Linked DNA regions of Tamandua tetradactyla. The protein of the gene in region 1 purifies or fractionates together with the protein of each later gene. This does not show direct contact. Links are inferred from orthologs where the notes say so. Each region holds a gene or a part of one and is shown on either strand. Other genes may lie near its edges. The genes, in order: PPP1CB, PPP1R12B, YLPM1 and PPP1R12C.

Region 1 (7,144 bases):
AAAAACAATTATTCATTAGAAAAACCAGATCTGCTTCAGACAAGTTTTTGGATGGGAAGATTGGCAGGGGAAATCTGGAGAATTTTAAGAATCTCAGGGAGGTACTGTCAAACAAAATATGCTTCACCCCCGCCCCCGGGGGTTAAGAAACAAGGAATAAAAACTCTTTACTGGTGGAAATGTGCTGAATATACGAACAGAACGGAGAGTGAAAAAAGCCAGATAATCCTTCTTAGCCTGGGAGCTCTTAGAGGGAGGAGACTGTGTTTTATCTTTGGATTCCTGGTCTGGCACAGAGTAAGTCAATAAAGGGAAAAATGTGTCTGAGATGAGAAATCTTACACACACACACACACACACACACACACACACACACACACACACACACACACACGAAGGTGTGGAAAAAAAGACTGTTTCCATTCCAAACGGAACCAAAATGTTTAATTTGCATACACAAAACCAAATAGAATCACTTACTTTCCCGACCAAATCTTTTTTCCAATAACCTTGACGATCTACTAAGTTTCCTAAGTATGTATAATCATAAAAAGTGGGTTCAACTTAAAAGGTTCCACACAGTACATTTTTAAAAGCATAGGTCTACCGTATATAAATGTATGGAAGAGAAAGGTGAAGAAGCTGCAATACAAACACCAGCTTAATTTTTTTTTACATTTACAAGCAAAATTTCAAATATATTCTTAAAGATGAATGTATAATGATACAGCTTACGCAATGTGACTGAGTGTGAAAATCTTGTGTCTGATGCTCCTTTTATTTACGATACTGATAGACGAGTAAAAAAAAGGATAAAAAAAGATCTTTGCAGAGTTAATAACAGAGTGGTAATTGGGAAAAAATTAACTACTGCATAGTATGGACTCTATATAAGCAGTTATATCTTAATAATTTTTATCAACAGTAACACATAACCACACCAATACTAGGGTTAAATAGTTGGGGGTGGTGGTAAGGGATATGGGGTGTTTTGAGTTTTCTTTGTGTGTGTGTCTGTTATTTTTCTCTTTGTTGCAATGGAAATTGTCTAAAATTGAGAGTAATGATGACTGTACAACTAAGTGAGGATACTGTGAGACGACTGTATACTTTGGATAGAATATATGGTATGTAAATATATACATATATCTCAATGAAATTTGCAGATTCAAAAAAAATTTCGTATAAAAATGGTAATATGTCAAAACCTCCCCAAAGGTTAACGAGATACTAAAGTTCTAAAATAACTATATTTCTCTCTCAGAATAATTTACAGGTACAAAAACTATACAATCTTTCTAAAAACAAATTTCTTACAGTTAAAACCCAACAAAATGTTAAAAGTCCACAAAATTCAAGCAGTGAACACTGACTGCAGGCACCAGGGGGCCTCCCAGGAATAACTTACTAGTAAAGGAAAAGGTAAGAAAGAGTTTCTGGTAAAACTTTGCTTCCTATTCATATTGAGTCAGACTCTTCGAAGGCTTTCACATCTGGAGCAAATACACTGTATTTAGTTACACATTAAGTACACACAGAACTGATGTTGTTTCAGATACCAATACATTAGCTGAATAATCTTCATGATTTTCCAAATTTAAGTACATATTGCTTCACTGCTGTAAACAATAATCTTCAGATAATGTGAAAGCAAATAATTCACAGACAATAATTTGACTATCGAACAAAAAGGACTCTAAATTTTAAAAAAGGCTTACTTAGAACTTTTCTACACACCCAGAAAGCAATGCGAATCTAAGGGTAAAGGGACTCATTGGCCGAAGATTGCGATTAACTTTGAATAATATCCTGTAATGAGTCAGTATGTTTAATTCCTGGCCTCTGTGCCCTTCCCTCACACATCAATCTAAAATTTTCAATAAAAACGCAAAGGGCCCGGAAACTTCAAACGTTGCTTAAACTTAAAAGGGAGGCTTTTCAACAGACCTCTCCTAACTATGTGCCTAAATTAAATTCTGCTCAAACCTGTTAAATTCGCAAAGTCTAACCAATCCCTTCAACATACCTATGTACATATTTCAGATTTCTTGCGGGAGGTCTTCCACTTCGTCAAAGATTTTACTTCCCTTTTTTTTTTTTTAAAGCTAAATAATAAACGGTAGAATTCAACTCGCGCTAATACCACCCTCTTCCTAGCCGAGTTCCTTCTCCAGCATCATACAAAAATGCAGAACAGCAGCTTAAACAATCACACTACGGAGTTTTTTTTTTTAAGTATATAAAATTCACCCCGAACAACAATGTGAGGGAGCCAAAGGCCAAGGCACAAAGAAAACCGAGAAGAAACGCGCGTTCCAGGGACATAGAGCGCACACCACACGCACCCTCGCTCCCTCCTTGGAAAGGGTCCCCACCGCGAGCAGCAGCAGCTCCCCGCCGCCCCGGAGCGGCGCCCTCCGTCCCCGAGGGTCCGCGGGGAGAAGTACCCTCCTGCGCCCTCCCCGCTGCCTCTGCCCGTCCGCCCCGCTGCCTCCGACTTCGGGAAGAGAGGATCGAGGAGGGCCCCCCCGCAGCCCGCCGGCCCGGCCCCGCGCTCACCCTCCAGCAATCGGGTGATGAGGCTGTCCACGTTCAGCTCCCCGTCCGCCATTTTGTCGGCACCAGGCTCTCCCTCCCGGCAGCGGGAACAAGGGCTTCTCGGTGGCGGAGGGTGCGGCGACGGCTCGGCCTTCTCTCACCTACAAGCCACACGGCGTTTCGACCCCAGGCCCGACTCCCCCCTTCTCCCGGGCCCTCCCCCCACCCCCTCCCCACCAAGTCGTGCGAGCGCGCGCACACTCGGAGGAACGGGGGATAAATCAATAAATAAACAAGCGGGGCCGCACGCACCGGGCCGCGTCAACCCCGAGCCTCCACCTCCCCTTCGGCACCGCCCAACGCCGCAGAGCTCACCAGCGCCGCTCCGCGCGGCACTTCCCCGCCACCGCGCCACGCAGCCCCCGCGCAGGCGCACTGCCGCGTTCCGCGCGGCCCAGGCCTCTGCGCAGTCGCACTGAGTTCACCCACCGCCCCCAGCTCCCGCCGGCGCCGCCGCCTTCGCGCAGACGCGTCGCCCTTTCCCTCCACTTCCACTGCGCCGACTCGCCGCGGTCGTGCAGGCGTCCTGTGGGGTTTCCGGATTTGCTGCGCCGAGGAGGCCCCCGTTACGCAGAGCCGGCGTCAGCGGGGCGGCCCTTTCCCCCTCATCGCCTTCGGGCTCAGGGCCTTCTGCAGCGCAGTTGGTGTGTACCCTTTCCGCCTCGCTCTTCTTTATTTCAACTTAATTCCATGATTTTGCAAGCAAGTCCTCGCAGTTCCGTTAACCGAGGAACGTAGGCCCCACTTACCCATGCTTGAAACCTGGTTTGCGCATTTGGGTAGCAAGAAGAGGTGGTCTGCTGGAAACGTTTGACATTGCACACAGTTCACAAGGCCAGGTCCCCAAGTGTCCCTGGATGAATGAATTGAAGTGAGCCTCGAAAGGATCAGCAATAATTATACTTTACATGCCTTTTACGCGGAGCTTTCACATATCTTCCATCTCCATCTGCCCCGTGGATGCTATTTTACCACAATATTTTGTGTTTGTGCCTCTATTATATTGTTTACTTTTCTTAACGTTGTAATTGTTTATACATTTATCTCACACTCGACCGTGGGATCCTAGAGGGCAAAAAATAAGCATTTGTCATGGCAGCACCCACCGAGTATCTGGCGCAGAGAATGTGAAGGAGAAGGAGAAAGGAGGGGGCTCAGCTGGTTGCCCAGCTGTTCTTTCCACCACATGTATGATGCGCGAGAGGGAGAGTAGCCGCCCAAAGAATCTAGGCAAGCCAGAGTTTTCTGCCTGTTCCGGGAGGTGGCCAGACCAAAGGCCTTTACCTGTCCTCAGCTGTTTTTCCAAAAACTCAGGGAGACTCTACAAGGTCGTGACCATACTTCTTCCACCCATATGTCACTATAATACCTAACATTTATTGAGGTCCTTGCATGTACTGGGCACTGTTTTAAGTGTTACACACTTGCTATGGCATTTAATTTTTGCAACAACCTCATGAGGTAGGTATTATTATTATTTCTATTTTTGTGGATAGGATTCATTGAGACACAAAATGGTTAAATACGTCTACTCAAATCACAGTAGTAAATGGCAGATCTGGGATTCAAACCCAGGAATCTAGCGACAGAACCTGCACCCTTTTTTTAAAAAAATGCAATTTTACTGATATATGTGTTTGCATACCATATAATCATCCAAATTGTACAACCAGTGATTCACGGTATCACTATATAACTGTGCATTCATCATCGCAATCGATTTTTGAACAGTTTCATTACTCCAAAAGAAAAAGAATAAAAGTGAAAAAGAACAGCCAAAATATCCCATATTCCCCAACCCCCTATTACTTATTTTCACATTCACACAGTCACACATTAAAAGCTCTGTAGTTATACAGTCATCTTCAAGATTCAAGGCTCTTGGATTACAGTTCAACAGTTTCAGGTAGTTCTCTCTAGCTATTCCAACACACCAAAAAACTGGAAAGAGTTATCTATATACTGCATAAGAATAACCTCCAGGATGACCTCTCTGCTCTGCCTGAAATCTCTCAGCCACTGAAACTTTATTTTGTCTCATTTCTCTTCCCCCTTTTGGTCAAGAAGACTTTCTCAACCCCATGATGCTGGTCTCGGCTCATCCCAGGAGTCCTGTCCTATGTTGTCAAAAGGAAATGTATACCTCTGGGAATCACATCCCACGTAATGGGGAGGGCAGTGAGTTCACCTGCCGAGTTGGCTTAGACAGAGGCCACATTTGAGCAGCAAAAGAAGTTCTCTGCGGTGACTCTTAGGCATAATTATAAGTAAGCTTAGCTTCTCCTTTGCAGAAATAAGTTTAATAGGGGCGAACCCCAAGACTGAGGGCTCAGCGTATTGAATTGGTTGTGCCCACTGCTTGAGAAAATATAAGGTATTCCCCAGATGAGGACGTTGACTATTTCCTTCTTTCTCCCCAGTCCCCTAAGGGGACTTTGCAAATACTTTTTCATTTTCTGCCCAAGTTACTCTCAAATATATCGCGGCATTATACTAACCTGTACAAACCAACAGGATCTTACGCACTATTCAAGATTCCATGTAATTATGGTGTTCAAATAGACTGCTCATACAAGTTAAATTAGATAACGTGCTACCCAAAATATAAATTTTGCACCAAATAAACATTCCTTCCTTTGATCTCATACAGAAGTTGAAGTTTTAAAATATGGATGATTTCATCCTTTACCCTGTATTCTGATTTACTTTAGTCCTGTCCAAGTCAGCTTCATTCACATCTCTAGTTGAAGTGTGATTACTTTTTCAACTCTTAAAATAGTTGCTGTATGGGATAATGCTGACTTTCATAGCTTCAGAGCTCTAACTCAGAGTCTCAGATGTCACATACATACCCGAAGTTTCAGGAAACAACTAGTTTATACACAAATAGCTCAGTATCTCAGCATTTAGAAATAACAGTTACAACTCCTGAATATATGTGACTGCTATAAGAACTTATGATCTACGACCCTTTACAAAATGCTCCAACATGATAACTCATGCTCTGGACTTCAATTCTCTGAATTTGTACATTATAGTTAGTCTGTGTGATTGAGGAATGACAATTTTGTCTTTTTGTTTCTGACATTTCATTCAACATAAGTCCTTACGGGTTTATTCACATAGGTGCATGTCTAATGACTTGATTCCTTCTTGCAGCCACTCAGTAGTCCATTGTATGTATCCACCACAGTTCCCCCTTCCATTCCTCAGTCAATGTACCCTTAGGCCACCTCTATTCATTGCGAATTTGGAACACTGCCCCATAAAAACCAGTGTGCAAATATCCATTCTTGTCCCCACTCTCAGTTCCTCCAAGTATACATGTAACTGCCAGGTTGCGGGCTCCTATGGCAACCCCACCCCTAGCCTCCTGTGGAGCCACCACACTGCCCTCCAAGGGGATCCACCATTCTACTTCCCTACCAGCAGTGAGTAGGTACAGCGCTCTCTCCGCATTTTCTCCAGCACTGTATGTCTCTCTTCATTTTTAAATAGTTTTGCTCATACATCATGTACTCCAACCTAAGTAAAAAGTTAGTGGTTTCGGTAGAGTCACATAACCACGCACTCACCACTACAACCTATATGAGGAAATTTCCTTTTCTTCCACAAAGAATCCACACCCCTGCCCCTTATCCCCTGCTTATTGACACCTAGCCTTGACATACTGACCTTGCTACATTCAATGGAAGCATATCACAGCATTACTGTTAATTATAGACCCTATATGCATTGATTATACTTTTCCCCCTATACCATCCCATCTTCCACATCTTGCAATGTTGACATTCATTTAGAACCTGCACTCTTCACCTTTACAACATTATTCTTTCATTGAATGTGAACTGAGACGCTTAAACATGCATGTGCTATATCAAAACTTGGAGAGAAGAAACTGTCAATTTGGGGGGAAAAATAAAGCATTGTTTAAACAAGTGCTCTATAATGGTCCAACTGATTTACAGAACTCTACCTTTTTTTTTTCTAGCTCCCTCTCCTTCATTTCAGTGTTGAGATTGTGCACTTACACAGAAGATAGGAGAACAGGCAATAAGCTGTGGTGTAGGTCCTGTCTAAAGTAGTTTTCACAGACTCTTTACTATCAGTTTACTTTGAGGTAGATAAGGATGAAGAAATGGTGCCTCATCACGCTATCTTGTTTGGTAAAAGTATATTTGTTTGTGCCCTACTTTATTCCAGATAAAGGGATTCAAGGAAACATAAATTCATGCAGTGGGATAAATTTAAAAATGAGTACAGAGAAGAATAGGACAAAAGAAAACTGAGAGTGGAAAAGCTAAGACGAAAGGCAGCAGTAGTGGATACAGAATACTTGTTGAGGGCCTATGGGTTTGTGAGAGGTAAACCACAGATATGACCCTAATCTTGATCAGTTGCAGGAGGAACAGATATTTTGATTGAGTTGGAACCTGGGTCTGTATAAACCAGCTTGTGCAGCTGAGTACCACTTCCTGAATCTCGAAGTGTACACATATTAAGAACAAGGGGCATCCAAAGGAAACTGGATTGCACAAAGGGAAAG
Region 2 (7,630 bases), on another chromosome or scaffold:
AAAATGATAATCGACAGTTGGTCAGGCGTCCATGGCCAAAACAAAGAAAAGAAAAGAAGCTAATATCACATGATTCATATCATGCTTGTATAATGGATACTTTAAATAATTCAAATAATTGTAGCACTCTCCATTTTATAGAAGGACAGAAGGAGAATCTGTCATAAAGTAGTTTGTTCAGCGACTGGTTGCTCTAGTCTTACATTTTAAATATAATCTTTTATGTACCTTAAAAGTTCTTCAGATCATGAAGAAACATATTGTAACTCTGTGGAAATTAACCTGTAAAAGAGTTCCTGAGCCAATAAAGGCCGCTGGTCTTGATTCAAACAGAGATGGTTTCCTCAACAGAAAGTAGATTTGACCTTAATTCTTTGAGCAGTTTAACCTTTAGCTGAAATAATTTGGTGTAGTAATGCTACCACGTTTGCAATTCAGCTCACTGTCATGAGTGCAAATGAGAGGGAGAACTGCCTATACTGCATTCGCTAATATAAAAAAGAAATTCCTTAGCTATCACCTCCTTCTATTTCAAGAAGTTATGGCATATAAAGAATTTATAAACTGAGAGAAGTTGCACTTCACAATTTGAGTGGTAGTGAAGAAGAAAAGGCACAAAGAAGGTCAGTCTCAGGAGAAGGGATCAAACAGTAGTTACCTGCTATGGGAAAGAGATTTATCATAAGCGACCTTAAAGATGATGCTTTTCTCAGGTCTTTTTAAAAATGTGTATGGCCCAGGCTCAACTAACAGAGTCACCTTAAAGGAAACAAAGTTACCGAGTTATACCAAGAAAATCATGCTTTGATAGAATAGCTATTCAAAACAGGACATACGGACTAGAAAGATGGACCCTATTTCTCTATCCTCCAATGAGCCATTAAATGATTTCTTCCAAAATTCAGATTTAAATCTCCTTCACATCTCAAATATTTGAAAAAATAAGAACTGATCTTCCCAAAGAGTTCAGAAATTAAAAGTAATAATGTCGCTCTTTTCATTTCTATCATATTTTATTCTGCTGCTTCTTAAGTGGAATGTCAAACTCTGGACTTGAAATCTTAAAAGGATGTACCTAAATGCAACTGCTCTCCTTTCTAACCTTACACAAATAACAATTTATCAGAGCTTCAGTTTCCTCATCTGTAAAATGGGACTAACAATACCACCTGTCCTACCTACTTCCCAGGGTCACTGCTGAGACTCACTTCAGGTAAGACTTAGGAAATAGTTGTTTAAACAGCAAAGCACCATACAAATGTTGGTTGTTACCTTAGGTGGGGCACTGTTATTAGCAGAAAAAAATTGAATATAACTAGGGTGGACAGAGGACAAGGCTATACCGTCTGAAAGAGAAAGGTTGCAAACATGGTAAGGAGTAATCTTAAACTATTAGCTAATATATTTAGGAATGTAGTTTACACGAAGTTGAATTATTAATTAGAAGGGGATTTTCATGTCAACACATTTACTTTGCCCAGACAGCAAAAGAAGACACTAAGAAATATAGAGTGAGTGCCCAGCTCTTGGCTAACCAAAATAACTGATGAAGTTCTATTTGGGAGGGTGGAGTTAGTTATGGCAGTCAGAATATACACAGAACACTGTTGCATAAGGAGAGAGAAGTATTGGTATTACCAACACAAAACTGTCAGGTCATCCACAATCCATATACAGTGGCTATATGTAGGACATGTGATTTCTATAGAGGGCTTTAAGAAAAGAGAAACAGCAAGGTTATTCCATAGGTATCAAATAAATACAAGTGATTCCGTAGGTTGGTTCTCTCGGGAAGTAACACTGCTGGGAAGAAAATAAGACTCCTATAACAATGAGGTTAGGGGTGTTTTAAGAGCTGTATGCTGGAGAAGACACGAACTGTTTTTGAAGTACCACAAATGAGCAAAACGGGATGTGTGGTTTCAGATGCGTGCTTGCCTTAACGCAGTATAGGGATTTACCATTTAAGTTATCCGAGATATTAATTTAAGGGCCATACAGACAAAAAAAATGAATTTTCGGAAAGAGCATCTCACAAATAACACTGACCATGCATCTGGTGGCACGGTGTGTACAGGAACACACACCAACCAGACTGAAGTGAAGATGACTAATCTACAGAGATAACACCAGGCACTAAGTCATCAGTAACCATGACAACATAAGTAGGTGGAGGGAAATACAAACACTGCCCAGGCAGCTGGGTGACATTATTCCTTAAGGTAGGGATTCTGAGGTCGAAAAGACAACTTGATTTGTGGAGAAAGCTGGCCAAGAACAAAACCGACTAGCCCAAAGGGGCCAGTATCCATGCGGGGTGTTTGTGGGTGTGGGGGCTCGGCGCCGACACTAATCCTTTCCAGGGGGTGGCTGGTAGGTGTCACAGGCTCTTCTGTAGGAGACTGGACGCCTATAATACCAAGAAGGGAGTTACCTGGTGCAGGGCTGTCAAGCCGTCCACGTTGACCGTGTTGATGTCGGCGCCTCTTGCCAGAAGCTTTTTCACCTCGTCAGTGTCACCGCTAGAGCAGGCGGCCAGGAAGACAGCACCATCCTCGAAGCGGACCCTCGGGCTCCCGCGACGAGTCTGAGGCTGCCGCCCCGCGCCGCGCCGCTCCGCGGACTCCTGCTCGGTCAGCGAGCCCCGCCAGCGCCGAAGCTGTTCAGCCCGCCGCATTCGCGCCGACTCTGCCCGCTTACCGCCAATGTGCTCCAGCTCCGCCATTGCTCCGGCCTCAGAAGCTGCTGCTGAAACGATCACTACTAGAAGGCTGTTGCTCCTGTTGCCGTTGCCGCCTCCCTCAAAGTGCTTTAGCCGGGAGCAGAAAGCGGAAACCCTCGCGCCGCCATCTTTACTCCTCCTGCCACTAGCACGGCCAGTAATCTCCCTCACCTTCATTACGCAGGCGCTGCCCGGACCTTCGGTGGTCACGGGACTTGTAGTAAGATGCCTGCCCTAAGGGCACTCGGTGGCCCTAAGGGAACTACAAATCCCTGGACGCATCAGAAAGAAAGGCAAGTCCGGCCTGTCACTACGTCGCCACGGGACGCAACGAGGTCACCTTTGCCCTAAAGCTGGACTCGACTCCCGGACCGACGGTAGCCTCTTCCGCTGGGCATTTGGGGAGTTGTAGTTCTTATGTATACTAACCTTAGCTCCCTGATTATCACATCATTCCTTTTAAGTGGTAAAGGAGCAGCAGTTGTCCCTATTATGTAGTGGGGAAAACAGACCGAAAGTACTTGAAAGACACGAATTCTTGTCCTGCTTCTAAATGAAGAACTCTGTTAACATAGTGTGTTAATAAACCCGGAGTGTATGAATCACAGTAAATGTAAATGTGAATGGAGGAGGAGGAGAGGGAGAAGATACACACATATATACACTATTACATATTATACGTAAGCACTGTCATCGTAACACTTATACTAGGCCCAGAAAACATCTTGAAAAAAAGGTGTATCTAAGTATAGTGAAAAGAACATAAGCTTTGGATTCAAAACAACCTGGAATTCACATTTACATAGACAAGTTACTTGATTACTTCAAGTCAGTTTTCTTATGTGTAAAATAGGTATGATAATATTTCACAGGATAGTAATGTGGATCAAATAAGATAATAAATGCAAGGATGTCCAGTACCATCCCTGACACACATCAAATCACACAAAAAAAATATTAATTTACTCCTTTCTCCCTCCTCCTCCTCTACCCTATCCATAGATCTTAAATTCTCAGGAGAAGGAATGGATGTATTGCCTATCATGATTTTTTTCAAATCTACAGAAAGTTACTGTGGAGAATACTAAACTCCTAACACAGGAGGTAGGACATTTTCATATTCACCATGAACTTGATTATAAAATCTGCGTCTGTCCCAATGACTTAAAACTCACAATATACCCCAGGGCCTTAGGCCTGGACATAATATAATGAAATGTGTTATCCGTTATGAAAGAGAACATATACAGTTATTAGCTTCTTTAATTTTTTTCTGTATGCTTGAAATCTTTCATTGAAAATTATTGTACAATTAGAATTGTAAAAGGAAACTAGAGGGAGGCGTAAGCACTTCCCTGACTTTATTACATCATGAGAACATTTGCTTGTGTCTCAGTTTCCCTTGAGGTAAACAGGGAATGATACACTGAGGAAATAAATGAATCAATGAATTGATAGCCTCAAATAAAAAGTGACATATAAATGCAAAATATCATCTTTAATAATACTGTGTCTATCTACAATATGCTTTAGTATGCTTTAGTTGGGTATTCTTTAATTCTTCATAAATACTAATTAAGCCTTACAACATCTTTGTGAACTGTGAATTACATAAAAATCATCAAGGACTAATAATATATGTATTATACTTTAGATAGCCTCATTCTCCTTATCCGCATGGATTTGTTCACAGTCACTCTACAACTGGTCATGCCGCATAATTTATTGCAATTAAACATTCTTCATGAGATTTACTTTATAACTTGTCAACATGGCACCTCCTATTACAACTCAGCCTCTTGCCGTTAATTAAAAGCGCCCAGAAGGGTGGGCCATGGTAGTTCAGCAGGTAGAGTTCCTGCCTGCCATGCCAGAGACTCAGGTTTGATTCCTGGTGCCTGCCTATGCAAAAAAAAAAAAAAAAAAAAAAGTGCCCAGAAGCTCTCAAACAGAATTCACTCTTAAGGACAGAATAAATATTGATATTAAATCAGCCAGAAACGAATACCCAGGTAGAAATCCAATCCTTTTCAAGAAACCGTTATTAACTGAACTACCAGTCTGGAGAGGAAGATTGAGAAGGGGCAAGGTTTAGTATAACACAAATTGCTAAAATCTCAGGAAGCACACCTGATAATAATCCATGTGTACCATTTTAATATTCTGTTTCTGGTACATAGTAGCTGGTCAAAAATATGTATAATTAAACTATATATTTTATTGGCATACTAGCTTTCTAATAAGGCTTCTTAAACTGAGGCAAATTTTCAGGGATCAGTAATGTTGCATTTCCTTTGACTGTATTCTTTTTGCATTCAGAATCGGGAAAGAAAACATATCTTGTTACAATTGCATAAATAAGCAAAAATTGGCCAAGTTCTAGTTAAATCCTTACTCGCCCTAGAGGTTTTAGCTTAAATTTCAACAGGAAGAATTTAACTTAAATTCCAGTAAGTACGTCCTAACTGTACTATTGTATTTGCTTTATTTTTATTTTCTGAACTGGCAAGGGTATAAAACCCACCATGAAGATTTTAAAGAAAAATATAGGCTACTAAGTACCTTGGATAATTTAAGCAAATACCTAGCTGAAAGGAAAGAAATAGACTATAAAACCAGTGTATTTGATTATCAGTGTATCTGATTCTTGAAAGTAGTAATTATAATAATCTACTTAAACAGGCTAAGTTTATTTAAAACTATGCCACAAAAAACTAAAGTCATCTGCCTATGACTAAATTTTCCAAATTAAAATCATATCAGTTTTTTCCTGACATTACTTTTCCAAACCAGAGCCCTCTGACACTAAATTTATACAATCAGCTCATTAAAAACAAACAATGAGGTTTAAATTTCCTACATAAATACTCAATTTCAAAGGAGAAAAAAGTATACACGAGTAAATCTTGACAGGCTATGGACAAATATACTTTTTAAACTTTTAAATGAAGTAGATAAACCAACTATGATGCATTCTTTTATAAAGTGAAGAAAATGTTACAAAATAATTTCCCACACCCACACTTTGAAAAATATATTATAACTTTAAAATACTCCCTTTTTAAAAGCAATGGCACATGTACATAGTTTATGAAAATCTTTCAGCCCAGCCTATATTTCCACCAGTTTACATACCTCCCTCTGGTGGACAAATGGAAACTATACACTTAGCGCTACAGTTTTGTTTTTTTTTTTCCAACCCTTTCAGTTTGGTTGCCAAAACTATAGGTATTTGCTTGTTTTATCATACCATCTTTCCTTTCTTCCAGACTCAATCCTGTCTCTGCATTTTTTTAACAGCCATTTTTAAGACCCATTTCTCAGAGAACCACCCAAGGAAGTAATCCATATCAGTTCAAAGTCAAAACTATAATGCAGGTACCATTACAGTTGGGATAGGAGAGAAAATAAGGGAAGGCTTGAAGACATTAAAACAGAGAATAACAGTAAAATAAGTAAGTCCAGAATTATGACAAAAAAACAGTTTACTACAATGAGTACATACTAATAATAAAAGCAAAACCCCTGCATCTGATTGTAAATTAGACCAAACAATCACAGAATTCTTTATGCTTGTAATTCATAAACTACTTTAGTTGGTCATTTCTACAACAAATGAGAGGTACCCTAGGACGGAATCATGACAGAATCCTGGTCAATGTATCCACATACAACGCAGAGGTCACGAGTACCACTTGCTCCTTAACTCTAATTTGGACTGAATGTAGAAATCAATGCAGAGGCCAAAATGATGCTGGTTTATAAACTTAGGGAAAGACTGGCCATTACTCCTTTACCCCACTGTTCCAAAGCCACACAATGAGATGAGAGCTGTGAGATGAAATTTTTTCCCCATCTATAGCATTTCCAAGGTTAATCAAGTTCCAGCCAGGTCCTTTAGATTCAAGTCAGGCTTGGGCCATCTCTGGGCTCTCATACAACAATCACCTCTCAGAGACCCAACTCTCAGAAGTCAGGGCTGGCTTAGCTAAAAACAGTACTTCCTTAGTTAGGAAATACCACACTTTTAAGTCAGAAGAGGACTTATGGGTCATCTATTCCAAACTTCCACCCAATACAAAGAACGCTTATGCACATGATTACCTAATTTCCATTGGAACATAGCCAGTGATGGAGAATTCACTATCTCCCAAGTCTACATGTTTTGTTTAGTTTTAATTGATAGAATCTTTTAGTGAGCTACATTTGCCATCCCTTTAACTTTCATCTATTGGTTTTAGATGTGTTCACTGAGGAATGAAAATCTTACATGAAAAAGAATATTTAAAATAAAGATAGCTATCATTATTTTCCTTCTCCAGATTAAATATTTCTGGTTCTTTTCATTATTCCTCCTACACTGTGTCACCCATCCTTTGCCCAGGATAAACCCTTGCACCCCTTGTTCAAGATAAATTCTTAACTTGTTAAACGTCCCTCTTGAGGAGGCATAGTCCAAATAAAATTTTCATCCATTTGTGTCTGTATTCCCTAATAGATTCATTGAAGATTGTTAGAAAAGCAAAAAGTAATGTGAGATGATATAGAAACAAGCTCAAATTTTAAACTATTGCCAACCATCCACATTTTAAAATGCACCCATGAGTACATTAAAGGGAAGTAATGGCGTTAGAGAAGAAAGTTATCAAGCCAAAGTCATTACCATCCCGAGGTCTTTTTTCCCCCAAAGACGGGGAGTGGTGGGTGGAGGTAGGGGAGTTCCCAAAGGTCACTGATCTTCTCTTTGGGGAAGCTCAAACTAGAAAATCGAATTTGAACCTTTGAACTAGGACAATTCCATTCCCATTTTAACAATCCAAAAGTGGGCTTACCTCACAGGGTTGTGAGGATCAGTGATGATGCATATAAAAGCCCTCTGAAAACTCTAAAATGATACAAATGTAAGTT
Region 3 (7,887 bases), on another chromosome or scaffold:
AGATTGGCATTGGCATAAAAAATATTTATCACAACATATAAAAATATTCTAAGTTTAGAACATGACAACACTTGTACCTATGTCAATAAATCTCTGTGGCACTGTCCTAGGTGCTACAGGGGATAAAAAGATGAGCCAGACAGTCCCTGTGTGTAAGGGACTTAGAATCCGAACAACAGAACAAAACCAAATCAGTAAGTACACTTGTGGCTTCACGGAGACCTTGATATTTGAGGTGTGCCTTGAGGAGATCTACTACAAGGAGGGAGAGGGAGGGTAGATAAAGCTGGGATGAATCCTAGATGGAGGAAGGAGAGCCTAAACAAGCTTACAAGGCCCTTCTTGACCTAGCGCATGCAGACCTCTCAAGCCTCATCTTCCACCAATGTCTTTCCAGCTCTCACCAAAGAATTGGAGGCACTGGGTACTCAAGTAAAAAGAAATTTACTATGGACAAGGATTCAAAGGCAGAAAAGCAAAAGCAGCATTTGTAGTCAGATTAAGGATCATACTGATACTGTTGTCCCCTCTCCTCCATAAAAAGTCAAAACAAACAATCCCAGAAATCTAATTAATTTGTCACTCTAAAGGGTTAGAAACAGTCCAGTAGAGAAGAGGATATAAAATCTCATATTTTGGATTGGACTAAGGTATCTGACAACAAAAACACTGGAAATTCCGCGGGGGGGTGGGGGGAAGGAGCCAGAAATTTTGTCTATATAACAGAGAAATCTGGAGGAAACAACCTGGAGGCATGGTACTAATTCGGCATAAACCAACAGAATCAGATACTTACTGCTTTATTCCGGCACCACAAGTGTTTTCTCCTGATGGTGTGCCAAGCATCATTCCTTAAAACAACTTGCCTCTGTTCTTAATTTCTAATACCAAAGCACTGTAAAATTAGAATACTACATCCTTATCTTTTGTAAATATTTTATATGCGAATCTGGGCTTATTGAAAAGACTATTCACTAATAAAAAATAGTGTATTTAGGTTAGTAATTGCTAAAAGTGTCTTTTTAAAGAAATAATAACACATCGTTTTTCCCCTTTAGTTCTACCTTCTCAATGGAGGAATTCATTTATTATCTCTACCCTGTCAATTTTGATCATTCTGTGGGAAGCATCACTTCAAACAGAGAGAGAAATGGATCTCTTACTACTAAGATTCTAATGAAGAGACATCAACTTTTTTTTTTTTTTTTTTATCTTGGTCTAATTCCAAGGCTGCTACTTTGGAGTTAATGGGAGCAACCATGAAATGCAGCAAAGTGGTCATGTCTTAAAACTATCTTCAAGTGATGTGAGGAAAGGATGTATGGGTCAGTTCCTTAAATGGACCAAGAGCCCCCCCAAAAAGGATCAAGTGTCTAGAGAGACATCTATGTATTGATAGGGCAAGCACATTTGGGGAATAAACTATAAAACTTTCACATGTATCTATAAGCATAATTAGGATGCCTCTAATAAGACATTCATCTTTCATTTGCTGAGGCCTCCTTTTTTGGAAGCTGAGAGCTATCAGTGTATCCTAAAAAGAAAAATTTTTTTTAAAGTTAACTGGGTCATAAGGTTTACATGCATTTCAAGTGTCAGCCCTTTGAGAAGCTTCTTTATGTGGCCTCTCAAAAGGAACTTTTAGCTTAAAATACAATTTTAAAACAAGGCCCTCTGCAACAAATTTAGGAAGGAGACTCAAAATATATCTGAGAACTTGAGCCATTCCACTATTCTGTGGTGTCTAGTAACATCTTTAAACAAGGTTCTTTCTGTAATCCACATTTACCTAATTTAAAAGCGGGGTGGAAGGCTCTAGGAGGATCTTTTAGAGTGTAAATTAGCTTGTCATTGTGTATTGGAATTAGGCTAAGCACTGGTTAAAGTCCTGAGGCCTGATCACTTACGGCCCTCTAGGAGAAAGAAGCGGTTCAAACAGAAGCTTTCTTACCTGTGGAGTCATCGTAGAGGGATCTGGCTCCGGGGTAGCTTGCTGCTGTTCAGAACTCTTGTTCTTGGCCCCACTCTCCAAAGACTCTTGCTGGGCAGTGGTCTTATTCCCAGAAGGGGCAGACGGTGGTGGTGGAGCTAGCAGTTGGGATTTAGAATGACCCTGCGTGGGGCGGGAAGGCGATGCCTGAGACGGGGGCAAGTAGGACTGGGAATGGCTCAAATAGGATTGCGAGGAGGAGGAGGAAGAGTAAGATGGGGTGGGCGCCAAGTATGACTGGGACGGTGGGGACTGAGAAGGGGACGGCTGAGCGGCAGGCAGATAGGGCTGGGACGAGGACGGGGGATAGTACGAGGGTGGCGGCTGAGGTGGGGGCATGTAAGATTGAGATGGGGGCATGTAGGACCCCGGCGGCACAGGCGGAGATTCAGGAGGAGAATCCAGCTCCATGGGAACCAAACCAGGAGGCCCGTCTCGTTGGTGGTGGAGCATCTGGTGTTTGTACTGCTGCTGCTTCTGATAGCTGAGGGCCGGCGCGGGCGGCGGGGGCATCGGCGGTGGCTGCCAGTCCCCGTAGCCGCCCCCCGGCATCACCGGTGGGGGCGGCAGGGGGGGCGGGGGAAGGTGGTGGGGCTGGAGCACGCACTGCATTTGCTTCTGATGCATCTGCTGCAACTGCTGGAGCTGCGCCAGGTGCTGCTCGCGGAAGCTCATGAAGCCGGAGGACGTGGGGGCCGCGGGAGTCGTCGAGCTCGAAAACCCGGGGCCCGGCGAGGCCTCAGGAAGCGCCACCGGAGGCGGAGGCGGGACCGGCGGCGGCGGATAGTGGCTGCTCCCGCCATACCGGCCCCAATTCGGGTACATATCGGAGAAGAAGGCGCAGGGCTCGTCCTGGCGCCGTTACTCGTCGCAACCGACCTCCAGGAGCTGCGGCGGCGGCGACAGCCGGAACTCGCGGCACGTATAGGCCCTAGAGCGTGTAAACGGAGCGCGCCAGTGCGCCGGCGCTACGGAGCAGGGCCCGCGACCGGGAAGGCGGGGACGGGCCTGAGGCTGCTACGCCTGCGCAGTAGCCGCCAAGAGGAGAACAAAGGCGAGCTAGAGCGGCCTTTTGCTTGACGACTTTCGGTTGCCACCTTCCTTAGGGTTCTGGTAATGCAGGCTCGAGTAGAATGTTCTCATAGAACAGAGGAACCATAGAGTCTCACAGCTGAAACGCGTTGGTAGAGATCCTATCGCTCCACGGATTCATTTTTGAATGAAAAAAAAAAAGAGGCTCCATTCACAATAGCAACAATCGCAACAACAACAGAAAAACCATAAAAACAACTAGAAATAATTCTAATTAATTCGAATTATTTCTATATGAAGAAAACTACCGAACATTCATATCAAAGAGGGATAAAATTAGGCTTGAAATAATGGACAGGCTTACCATGGTTGTGAATGAAAAGAGGGAAAATAGTAAAGATGTCAATTCTTCTCAAATTAAAAATTAATAGACAAAGTGATATTGCCATGTTAAAGGTGAACATCATTATTGAAAGGGACTGTATTAGAGCCAGGTATCCCACGGATTAACACTACAGAAATAAGTTCTTGCATGAATTACTTAAAAGGTATGAATCTCTTTTTTTCCCCACAATCACACAGTCACATTGCGAAAGCTATATCACTATACAATCATGTTCAAGAAACATGGCTACTGGAACACAGCTCTACATTTTCAGGCAGTTCCCTCCAGCCTCTCCATTACACCTTAACTAAAAAGGTGATACCTATTTAATGTGTAAGAATAACCTCCAGGATAACCTCTCGACTCTGTTTGGAATCTCTCAGCTATTGACACTTTATTTTGTCTCATTTCACTCTTCCCCCTTTTGGTGGAGAAGGTTTTCTCAATCCCTTGATGCTGAGTCCCAGCTCATTCTAGGATTTCTGTCCCACGGTGCCAGGAGGTCCACACCCCTGGGAGTCATGTTCCACGTAGAGAGAGGGAGGGCAATGAATTTGCTTGTTGTGTTGACTGAGAGAGAGAGAGAGAAGCCATATCTGAGCAACTGAAGAGGTTCTCTTGGGGGTGACTCATAGGCCTAATTTTAAGTAGGCTTAGCCTATCCTTTGTGGGGTTAAGTTTCATATGAACAAGGTATGAATCTTATACAGTGTTTATAATATGGGGTAAAGAGGGAAAACTATTGCATTCTACGGCTATGTTTAACAAGAAGACAGCAACAGTACCACAGCAATACCAGGGGTAAATAATTGGGGGCGGGGGATGGGGAGGACAAGAGTTATGGGGTTTGGATTTTCTGTTTGGTGATGGTGTGTTTATTGATTATTATTCTCTGGGGAGCAATGAAAATTGTCTAAAATTGAGAGTGTTGATTATACCACTAAATGAGGATAATGTGAGACATGGGTTGATGACTTTGGATCTTATACATGATGCCCAGTGGATTAAGGTGGCTAAAGGATACACTGAGTGGTAGAATGGTAAACTGTGGTGTATACATATGTTCAAATATTGAGCTGCTACAGAAAGGAATGAAGTCGTGAAGTATGCAATGATGTGATTGAACCTGTGGGGCATTATGTAATGCAAAATAAGCCAGAAACAAAACTGCAACTATTGTATGATCTCATTTAGAAAATACTTATAAGAAAATTGAGACTAGATTGTAAACTCTGATAGCAGTCACATTTAATCCAGAGCTGCAATTGTTATTTCTAGATTTTGAAAGACTGTGCTATATATGTATAACCAACTTTGAGTACCTGTGTGACATGTAAGACCCAGAGTAGGAGGTCTGCAGGTCTGAAAGTCAGCATTGCCACATACAACTGTTAAAGAAACTGAAAAAGATCAGGCTTCAGTTAGAGATAAGAACGAAGCTGATCACATTGGGACTAAGTTAAATCAGAATAAGGGATAAGGATGACATTGTCTGTATTTTAAAACTTCACCTACTCTGAGACCAAAGGAAGAGAGGTTTATTTTGTCCAAAATCTAAATTTTCTGTAGCACATACTCTAACTCGTCTGGATAGAGCATTTTAACAACCCAAACACATGGAGCCCAGAATGGGAATGAGAGCATGTAATTCTAAATAGCTTAATGTATTGCCCGGACACATCCCAGAGTATGTTGAGCAGATAAGTAAAAAAGTATTGGCAAAGTCCCTTGAAGCATGGAAGAAAAAATATGGAACTATTAAACTTTATCACCGGGGAAATCCTTGATACTGTCTCGAACATTGGGGACTCCCAAGACGATATGCCAAGTCCTTGATCTTGAGGCTTGCTCTTGTGAAGCTTACTTATGTATTTATAGGAGAAGCTAAGCCTATCTATAGTTATGCCCAAGAGTTACTTCCAAAGAACCTGTTTTGTTGCTCAGATGTGGCCTCTCTTTCTCTCTAAGCCCAACTCTGCAAGTTAGATCATTACCCTCCCCACTACATAGGTCATGACATAGAGGGGTGAAAATCTCTGTGGCAACGTGGGATATGATTCCTAGGGATGAGCCCGGCCGTGGTACCATGGGATCGACAATGCCTTTCTGACCAAAAGGGGGGAAAGAATTGTAACAAATAAGGTATGGGTGACTGAGAGTTCAAACAGTCAAGAGGCTACTCTGGAGGCTACTCTAGATATTACTAGGTATTATGGTTTTGCAAATTCCAACCAAAACCATTGCTGTCAACCCTAAAGAACATGTAGGGCTTTATCTGAGACTCTACAAAGGTTCCATGCACTATGATTACTTTCGAACCTCCAGATGGGTTCCTAGACCTGATAAATCCTGAAACCCAGAAGGGCTAGCCTCTCCAAAATATCAAATAGTTCCATCCTCCATCCCATATTATCAACAGCTTTTTCCAACATGAAAAAGCTAGAATGGGCATAGCTTAAATACCCCTAAAGACTGGGAGAAAAATTAAAGAAGGTCGAGTTATAACAGAGAAGATAGTATTTAACAAATGAGTATGACTGCTGAATCATTATATATATATATAATATATATGTTATATTTCACAATAAAAAATGAATAGACAACACAATTCTAACCCAGAAAATCAAACTGAAAACAAATCTGTGAAAGAATGGAGACCTATTTTGAAGACGATGTAATACTCCGCACCAATTCCTGCAGGCATATAAAAAGTGACAGCTACAGGAATAAGAGGGGAAATGGAATTCTTTAGAATATCTCAAAACATTTTTTTTAAAAACCCATGTTGGAGAACCTCAAAGCGAAAGTAAAGATAGCAAAAACCAGATACAAAGATTGTCTAGAATAGATGACCTAGAAGATAATTCTTGCAAAAATTTCTCAGTATAGTACTAAACATAAGCTCCTTCTGTGGTTTGAGTGAATCACTAAGAAACAAAGTTAATCCACACTGGATTCTAACTCTGAGACTATAAAGTGTGTCTGTTGTGCACTCCATAAAAAGACCTTGACCTTCCTTCCATTTTAGTAACCCAGATCCTCACCTCTTAGGAAGTGGATATGAGTGCAGAGTGGTGCATACAGGTATACTTCAGAAGCATGAGTTTCATTCTCAAATAGGCATTTAGTTCTGTTCCTTTTTTAACTTTTTATTGAAGTATAACATATATACTAAAAATGATATTAAGTGTAAAGTTTAGTGAATTTCCGCATACCAATCATGCTGTGTACCCAGCACCCAGGTCAAGGAACAGAAAGTTACTCAACCCAGAAACCTCAGTTAATTGTGTTGTTAATATTTTTCATTGGAATTCTCTTTTGAAAAATATAAAAATAAATGTAATTCACTATAGTAATAGATTAAAGGGGAAGATAATGTGATCATTTTACTAGATGGAGGAAAATAATTCGATACACATCAATATCAATATTTTTTAAAAATCTTAGCACACTAGAAATGAAAAGGAACTTCCTTAATCTAATGAAGAGTATCTATTAAGCATCTATTGTAAACACCACACTTAATGGTGAAAGTTGAAAGCTTCACTGACATCAAGAGCCAAATTCCCACTGTCTTCACATCTATTCAGCATTGTACCACAGGCCCTGTTTGCGCAATAAGGCAAGGAAAAAAAAAGATATAAATATTGGAAAAGAAGAAACAAAACTATTATTATTCATGTATGATACTATGTACATAGAAAATTCAGAATAATTACAGATACATTTTAAGAATAAGATTGCTGGATATAAAATCAATATACAAATCAATATATGTACCTATATACAATTTTTATATACCTTTCATTAAGGAAGTGAAAAAGGGAAGTCACAGAGTAGAAGGAAATATTTTGTAACATGTTTAACCTGCAAAGGATCCATACTTAGATTATATAAAGAAGTCCCATAAATCAATAAGTAAAAACATACAATTTAAAAGAGTAAAATGGGCAATACCTGAAGAGGGATCTCATAGAAAATGAAATCTGAATGGTCAATACATATAAAAGTATTTTCACCTCAGTAGAGTGTAGTAGTAAAAATTAAAACCAAAATGAGATACCAGTACATTTGCAAATTACCAACATGACTAAATTTAAAGACACAATACCAAATGTTGGCAAGGATGTGGAACAAATGCAGTTCTGATACACTGCTGATGGGGGTATAAATTGTGGCAACTACTCTGAGATACCATTTGGCAGTAACTACTAAAATGAAACATACCTTTAGTCTATGACCCAGAATTCCACACCTAGGCCTGTACCTAACAGAAATGCATATATATGTTCACATGTGCAAGGATGTTCATATCAGTAGTATTTGTAATAACCGAAACTTGAAAACAACACTGTATTAGCTAGGGTTCTCTAGAGAAACAGAATCAGCAGGATATATATATGTTGATATAAAATTTATAAAAGTGTCTCACATAACTGGGGGAATGTAGAATCCAAGATCTGTAGGGCAAGCCACAAGC
Region 4 (6,986 bases), on another chromosome or scaffold:
AGCTACGAGGCCAAGAGCATGAAGTCATGGAAACTCGGGCTGTGAAAGGGGGGCCACACGTGCCCTGGGAACGGGATGAACTCTGGGCTCCGTTTATTTCTACCCAGTTGTCATGGCGATGGGGGAGGGGGGCAAGGAGGGAGATGGGCTTTTCCCTTTCAAGGACCTGACCCAGCACAGGCATCCGTGTGAAAGATGCCTGAGACCTGGGCTCCGGGGATCCAAAAATCCAGGCCCCAGCCCTTCCTCCCTCAGGCCAGGCATCCAGGCCCCCAGCCCCTCCTCCCCAAGACCCGGGGGTCCAGGCCCCCAGCCCCTCCTCCCCAAGACCGGGGGGTCCAGGCCCCCAGCCCCTCCCCTTCCAGATCTCCAAGCATTCTGGCCCCCAGTCCCCCAATCCCTAATGTATAAGGCAATAGGCAGTTGGAAGTGTGGGGGGAGGACACCCACCTGGCCAAGTGGTTCACAGACCTACCTGAGGTAGGGGCTGAAACCTGAGAAGGAGAGGGGAACACAGCCGGGGTAGGGCTGATGCTCTGGGGTAGGCCAAGGGAGGATTCAGAACAAAACACACAGCTCAAGACGCAGCAGTCCCTCAGATAAGGGGGCCAACCAACCCAGCCTGCCTGGGACGGAGGGACTTCCTGGGGCTTTCAGGGCCCAAAACAGGACAGTAGGATGAGGTGGTCATCCTACACCCAGATACTGACCCCAACCCCAGCTCCCCACTTGCAGGCATGGGGCCTAAGGCAGGACTGCCCCTGCTCCTCCAGTGCTCCTGCAGGGCTCTGGGGAGTACCTGGATGGGAGATGACCCCCCTCCAAACAGGAGAATGAGGGCAAGGCCAGATCAAGGGGAGAGTCAAAAGGCCCTCTAGGGGAGGTCCCTCTCCCAGGCTTGCCAGGGCTCTGCCTGTAGTAAGGCTGCATTGAGGAAAAGAGACCCTGCTCTGGGTGGAGAAAACTGTTGCAGATATCACTGGTGTCGCGGTAGTGGACTTGGGGAGGAGAGAGGAAAAGGGGGGGTGGCATTTAGGCCACGTGGCAGCAACCTCCAGTGAAAGCCTGCATGCGTCCAATCTCTTGTGGGGTCTTCCACCCATTCAATCTCCCTCCTTCACCAGAGCCTTGCCAGGGAGAGGCTGTTGGCCCCATTCTACAGGTTACAAAATGAGACTCAGAGAGGAAAGCCATTAAGGCAAGGCCACATATCGAGGAGCTGAGATTAGGAATCAGAAACAATCTATTCAAATTCTGCTTTTCCTGAACTGCTCCTCTCCCTGTGAGCTCAAGCATCCCCTACTTCCATCAAGATTTCCTTCCCAGCAACCCCCGGTAATTCCCCAGCCTTCCCCCCAGGGGTCCTGGCACAGAAGGGGCTGGGTACTCTAAGAAATGGATGTCTATTACAGAAAAGGAAGCTGGACCAGAGGGAGGGAGCCTGGGGATGGGGGGATATGGGGCTCTTCTCTGGCCTTTCCTTTCCCAGGTGGCCCCATCAGAGTAGTGGCAGCGTGGAGGGGTCGTTAAAGAGCCCAGAACCAGAGAAAATCCTCAGGGTATGAGGGGGTCCTGGTCTGGCAACACAGGAACCTCAGTGACTTGGAGAGAGTGTAGGGTGGTGGAAGGAAATAACTTATAGAGTTCCAGAACCCTCCAGAAAGTGACAGAACAGAGGCTGGAGAGACTGCACATCTATGGGAAGAAGAAACTGCCTGAATGAAAGAAGAGGTTACCCAAATCCATAGAAAAATAGAAAGAAGGATGACTAGAAAACAGAGGTGGCCCAAAGACAAATAGAGGTGATGCTTGGAGGTTGCCCAGAAAAAGGGTGACAATGCAGGCCTAGCCAAGGGAAGGCGAAACAGAGGGAAAGATGAAGGCTCCTGGAGGAGAAACACTCCAGAAAGCAGGCCCAAGGTAGGAGGTAAGAGGTGGCACAAACCCCAGGAGGGTTTAGAGGAAACCACCTGGATTAGGAGGGGCAGAGAATAGTACGAGGTGATCCAGACAAGACAAAAATATATCAAGGAAACAAGGCGTTACTGAGCGCAGGAAGAAGTGGTTCAGGGAAAAAGCATCCTTACGCAGCAACAGATGGCTGAGACCAAGTTGGAGAAGGAGTGGGAGGGAAGGAGAACCCGGGAGTTGGCACTGAAGGATCTGGGCCTTCCAAAGAGGTGGCCCAGGCCGGAGACTGGGGGGGGTGCAGGAAAGAAGAGAACGCAGCTCAGCGAAAGTGCCCGGCCACGCCTGGAAAGGGGAAGCTGTAGGGCACAGCCGGCCCAAGTATGGTTAGAGAGACTGTACATGCTCAGGAAGAAGGGGTGCGAGCGGAGCTGGAATAAGTAAGTGGTACAGACCCAGGAGACAGGAGGCAGCCTTAGATGACGAAGACTGCCGGCTGGGAGAAGTGGCTCAGGCACAGTCTAGTCAAAGGGGCTCAGGGGTCGGAAAGGCGCCACGACCATAGATGTGGCCCAGACCGAAGTCGCTAGAGACCGCCCGGGTCCAGAGAGGCGCAGCGCAAGGCGGCAAAGAGCAGACCGGCTGGACACGGGGCGCTCGAAGTGGGTCGGATGCCCGAGGCTGGAGAGGGGAGCTCGGGGACCGGGGCAGCACAAGATGGCAAAGCGCTGCAGGGGAAGGCTGGCGAGTGCGCTCGGGGCCGGAAAGGGAGGCGCAGGGCGCTGACCTGGTGCAGGGCACTGATGCCGTCGGCGTTAGTGGAGTCGAGCACCGCGCGGGCGGGCAGCGGGGCGGCGGGGCCGGGCTCGGGGCTGGGGTCCGCGCGCAGCATCAGAAGCGCCTCGTCCAGGTCGCCGCCCGCGCAGGCCGCCAGGAACTCGGCGGCACGCTCGAAGCGGACGGTGCGAGCGCGCCGCTCCCCGGGGCCCGGCTCGGCGCCCGCCCGCGCCCCCCACTGCCGCAGCTGCTCCCGCCTCCGCTCGCGGGCCGCCGCCGCCGACGTCCCGACCCCGGCCCCCGGCCCGTCCTCGCCCGACATCGCGCCGCCCGCCGCCCCGCAGCCCCGCGAGCGGAGCCCCGAACCGCCGCCGCCCGCCCCGGGGGCCGCCGGGAACTGCCGCTCGCCCCGCGCTGCCCGAGGGCTCTCCGGACCACGCCCGGCGGGATGACGTCGCATCGCCGCTCCCAGGGCACGCTGGGAAATGGAGTCCGCGGCCCGTAAAGAGCCAACGGCGATCGCCTGTGGGGCGGGACCCTGGGAGCGCTGGGAAATGGAGTCCGAAAACGGAAGTCTCTAATGGCAATTTCCTGGACTAGCTGTGCCCCGAGGCACACCGGGAAGTCCTCAGCTTAGAGCGGTCGAAAGGAAATCGCCTGATTGAGGAACATGCCCCAGGGACAGCTGGGAAATGGAGTTCACAGGGTGGACTGTGCTCCAGGGCATGCTGGGAAATGTAGTGCGCGGTGTAAACGAGCCAGGTCTCGGGCTCCGGGGCCTGATCGGAAATGTGTAACAACCCGGAAGTTCTGAGATCTATAGGACAAGGTAGTCTACGCCCCTCATCATCTTTCCACATGCTGTTATATAATTTATTTAATTGGGTTTTTTTGTCTGCCCCTCGCCAATAAAGAATAATCCACGAGGGTAAAGGTTTTTGTCTTCCACGTTCACTCTTTTATTCCCAGGACCTAAAACAGAGCCCGATAGTACGGAACGAAGATATTAATTGAATGAATTAAGAAATGGATTCCCAGGTCGTGAGAAAAACCGAGGCATGCTGGGAAATGTAGTCGCAGGGCCACGCCCCTAAAGGCACAGCCGGGGCCAGGACAATCCCCGATTTACTCCCAGCAACTCCCAGCTAATCAGGCTCAAAGACAAGACTGAACAGAGTTCACTATAACAGCACGCTGGGCAATGGAATCAGAAGTCCGGAGTCCTTAGGGCCAACCTCTGGCTCCCACCGGGGAAAGGAGGTCCCCATTGACAGCTCCCCAGGGCCTTTCTTAGGCCGCCCTTCTTCCGCTCCCACCTGGAGCCGTGGAGCATGCTGGGAAATGTAGTCCATGCGCCTGCACCTTCGCAAGCCTTGCTGGGATTTGTAGTCCAGGTTTGGGAGCTGGCGTTCTGGGACCGGGGTGACCTTTATCCGTACCATCTTTTTTTTTTTTACATGGGCAGGCACCAGGAATCGAACCTGGGTCCTCTGGCATGGCAGGCAAGCGTCCTTGCCTGCTAAGCCACCGTGGCCCGCTCTATCCGTACCATCTTTACGATGCAGACCAATGCCTGTTTTGGTGCAACTGCAGAGAAAGAGGGAACATTTTCTTCTTAATTGTCTTTCTGAGGTTACAGAAGACCAGCATGACCAAGCACGAAATAATCCTCACCCTGAATATCCTGCACCGAAATGCAAATCGTGAAGGATGCAGGCACTTTGAAACAGGAGCAGAGACCCATAGAAATCACGCAGAAAGGGGCTGAAATGTAGGCAGGGGCATCAGAGTATCTCCCACCTCCAAGGAATCTAGGAGTAGGGACCCACGCCTAAGTCTTTGGGCCTGCGCAAAGAAATAAACTGCAAATCCCATGAGGTCAAGGGAACGCTGACCATAGATGCGAAGGGGACTGTGGGCCTGGTGGCTCTTGGGATGTGTAGTCCGTGAACCCCACAGTTCCTGAACCTACGCACCAACCCTCTTCACCCAGGGACGCTTAAAAACGGCACGAAGTAAATCTTCGGTGTATTCTTGTGGGTGGTTGTGGTTATGCATGTTGCTATGCATGACTGTCACCCATTATAATTGTGTATATTTGTGATTGTGACTGTGGCTGGGGTAAGTTGATGTTTGTGTAAATATGGCTATGTATATTTTTGTGACTGTTATTGTTTATCTGTGGACAACCCAATTTACAGGACCTGCCCAACCCACACAGTGAACTCTGGTAGGTTCTCCTGCCATAAACTCTATTAGCAACCTTGCATTAACTTCTATCTTTAGACTTCAACGTCTACCAAAAACAAAAATTATATTCCGTTACAATGGTTAAGAATTCTGGCTCTGGTTTCGACAGTCCAAGATTTGAATCTTATCTTTGCCATTTCCTAGCCTTATGACCTGGACCTTGTCTCTTTATCTATACTTCCTGGAGTTGCTGTAATAATTCAAATTAAGTATCTCATAAGTAGAAGAAGTTAGCTGTATATCTGCATCTTCATAGTCCAATTGTTAAAATTCTCTTCTGCCCATTTCTTTTCCACAGTGAAGATATTTCGCCTCTAAGACTTGCTGTTTTCTTGCAGTGCTAGCAGGGGAATTTTGATGTTTAAAGTTGGAACTGCAGATCATGCTCGCTGTTCATGAAAATAACCTCAGAAAGATAATTAAGAAGAAAATGTTCCCTCTTCCTCTGCAGCTGCAGCAAAACAGACACTGATCTGCATCGTAAAGATGGTACGGATAAAGGGCTGAACTGAGCACATTTGTGAAAGTATCAAGTTTATTAATCTGTCCAGTGTGGAGATAGAGGTAAAAATATTATAAGCCAGTTCTTTTTGTTTTTATTACAGAGATTCATTTATTTCACATTTCTATAAGCATATACATAGTAGAGTCACATACAAACATGTACAAACATGGTTTATTTAGTAATATATCCAAAAAAAATTGGAGTCAATGCTTTAAATACTTATCACATTTGAAATATTTGCCTTCAGACAAATTTTCAGACCAAATAAATTTATCTGCTCTCTGCAATCATGTGCTATCCCAGAATCCCAAAATGCTGTATCTTCTTATTTGACTTAATATCCTGTATTTATGATTTTGACAAATGTAAATATGTTTAAATTACATTTCTTTGCATGTGGATACATTATTAAATTATACCACATTAACATATTATCCTGAATTATAAGCAATGTTATGAATGCATAACCCTTCTAAAATTAAACATAGCATTATCAGTTTGCCTTTTAGTTTGCTTGCCAGCTGATAAAAAGTAAATACATGCAGATTTTTGTCTTTATACAGTTACTGTACTTATTTTCTGTAGCTGGAAACAAACATAAAATTTATATTTGCTTTCCTGACATTAAAAAATGAAAATCCCTGAGAGCCTATAAGGGGTTATTATTCAATTCACTGTTACCCCAATTTTTCCCCCAGGCCTTTCTTTCCAGAATCAAGACTAGTTTACTGCGAAATCCAAATGGTAGTTATCACAGGTATGTATGAGGCACTTTGGGCATCTTATACTCTTGAGTAGAACATTTTTGCAGTCAGTTTAATTTATATTTATTCCATATTTTCATATAAAACAGTTTTAAACATTTCATGCTGCATAATGCATAATGTTTCATAAACAAACGTTATCAAAGTATTACTAAATTGTTTTATGCATAATCAAGAAGACTGATGAGAGGAAGTCATAAAGCAACTTTTCTTAGCCTTTTCTATCATAATGGTACCGATCACCTTCATGTAATAAATAAATATCAGGTCAGTTTTCATTTATGTCCGTGGCAGTGTAACAATAAAAAATATTAAACTGCATTCAAAATTACAGCAATTTTTCATTCCTAGTGAATTCAATAGAAAAACAGCCCTAGCGGGTGTTCTACTTTGCTAACTGCCGGAATGTGATATACCAGAAATGGAACAGCTTTTAAAAGGGAACTTTTATTAAGTTGCAAGTTTACAATTCTATGGCCATGAAAATGTCCCAACTAAAGCAAGCCTATAGAAATGTCCATTCTAAGGCACCAACAAGAGGTTACCTGCACTCAAGAAGGCCAGTGAAGTTCAGGGTTTTTCTCTCAAGTGGAAGAGCACATGGCGAACATGGTCAGGGTTTCTCTCTCATCTGGAAAGGCACGTGGTAAGCACGGCATCATCTGCTAGCTTCTTCTCCTGGCTTCCTGTTTTACGAAGCGGCCCAGGAGGCATTTTCCTTCTTAATTTCCAAAGTTCGCTGGCTGGTGGACTCTGCTTCTCATGGCTATGTCATTCTGCTC

What was found.
Region 2: the proteins of PPP1CB (region 1) and PPP1R12B purify together in Homo sapiens (affinity purification with mass spectrometry; 4 studies listed by BioGRID and IntAct, with this or other methods). This does not show direct contact. The link is inferred for Tamandua tetradactyla from reciprocal best matches to the Homo sapiens genes PPP1CB and PPP1R12B.
Region 3: the proteins of PPP1CB (region 1) and YLPM1 purify together in Homo sapiens (affinity purification with mass spectrometry; 3 studies listed by BioGRID and IntAct, with this or other methods). This does not show direct contact. The link is inferred for Tamandua tetradactyla from reciprocal best matches to the Homo sapiens genes PPP1CB and YLPM1.
Region 4: the proteins of PPP1CB (region 1) and PPP1R12C purify together in Homo sapiens (affinity purification with mass spectrometry; 3 studies listed by BioGRID and IntAct, with this or other methods). This does not show direct contact. The link is inferred for Tamandua tetradactyla from reciprocal best matches to the Homo sapiens genes PPP1CB and PPP1R12C.

What each region holds. Positions count from the first base shown.
Region 1 is NC_135329.1:12,889,595-12,896,738, reverse strand, and holds the start of PPP1CB (serine/threonine-protein phosphatase PP1-beta catalytic subunit), read right to left. Parts: upstream 3,010-7,144; 5' UTR 2,914-3,009; exon of another isoform or gene 2,851-2,913; intron 2,700-2,850; 5' UTR 2,612-2,699; coding exon 2,560-2,611; intron 1-2,559. UniProt on the Homo sapiens protein: Protein phosphatase that associates with over 200 regulatory proteins to form highly specific holoenzymes which dephosphorylate hundreds of biological targets.
Region 2 is NC_135330.1:59,417,406-59,425,035, reverse strand, and holds the start of PPP1R12B (protein phosphatase 1 regulatory subunit 12B), read right to left. Parts: upstream 3,013-7,630; 5' UTR 2,900-3,012; coding exon 2,435-2,899; intron 1-2,434. UniProt on the Homo sapiens protein: Regulates myosin phosphatase activity. Augments Ca(2+) sensitivity of the contractile apparatus.
Region 3 is NC_135338.1:33,829,833-33,837,719, reverse strand, and holds the start of YLPM1 (YLP motif-containing protein 1), read right to left. Parts: upstream 3,008-7,887; 5' UTR 2,816-3,007; coding exon 1,952-2,815; intron 1-1,951. UniProt on the Homo sapiens protein: Plays a role in the reduction of telomerase activity during differentiation of embryonic stem cells by binding to the core promoter of TERT and controlling its down-regulation.
Region 4 is NC_135342.1:4,568,121-4,575,106, reverse strand, and holds the start of PPP1R12C (protein phosphatase 1 regulatory subunit 12C), read right to left. Parts: upstream 3,013-6,986; 5' UTR 3,008-3,012; coding exon 2,696-3,007; intron 1-2,695. UniProt on the Homo sapiens protein: Regulates myosin phosphatase activity.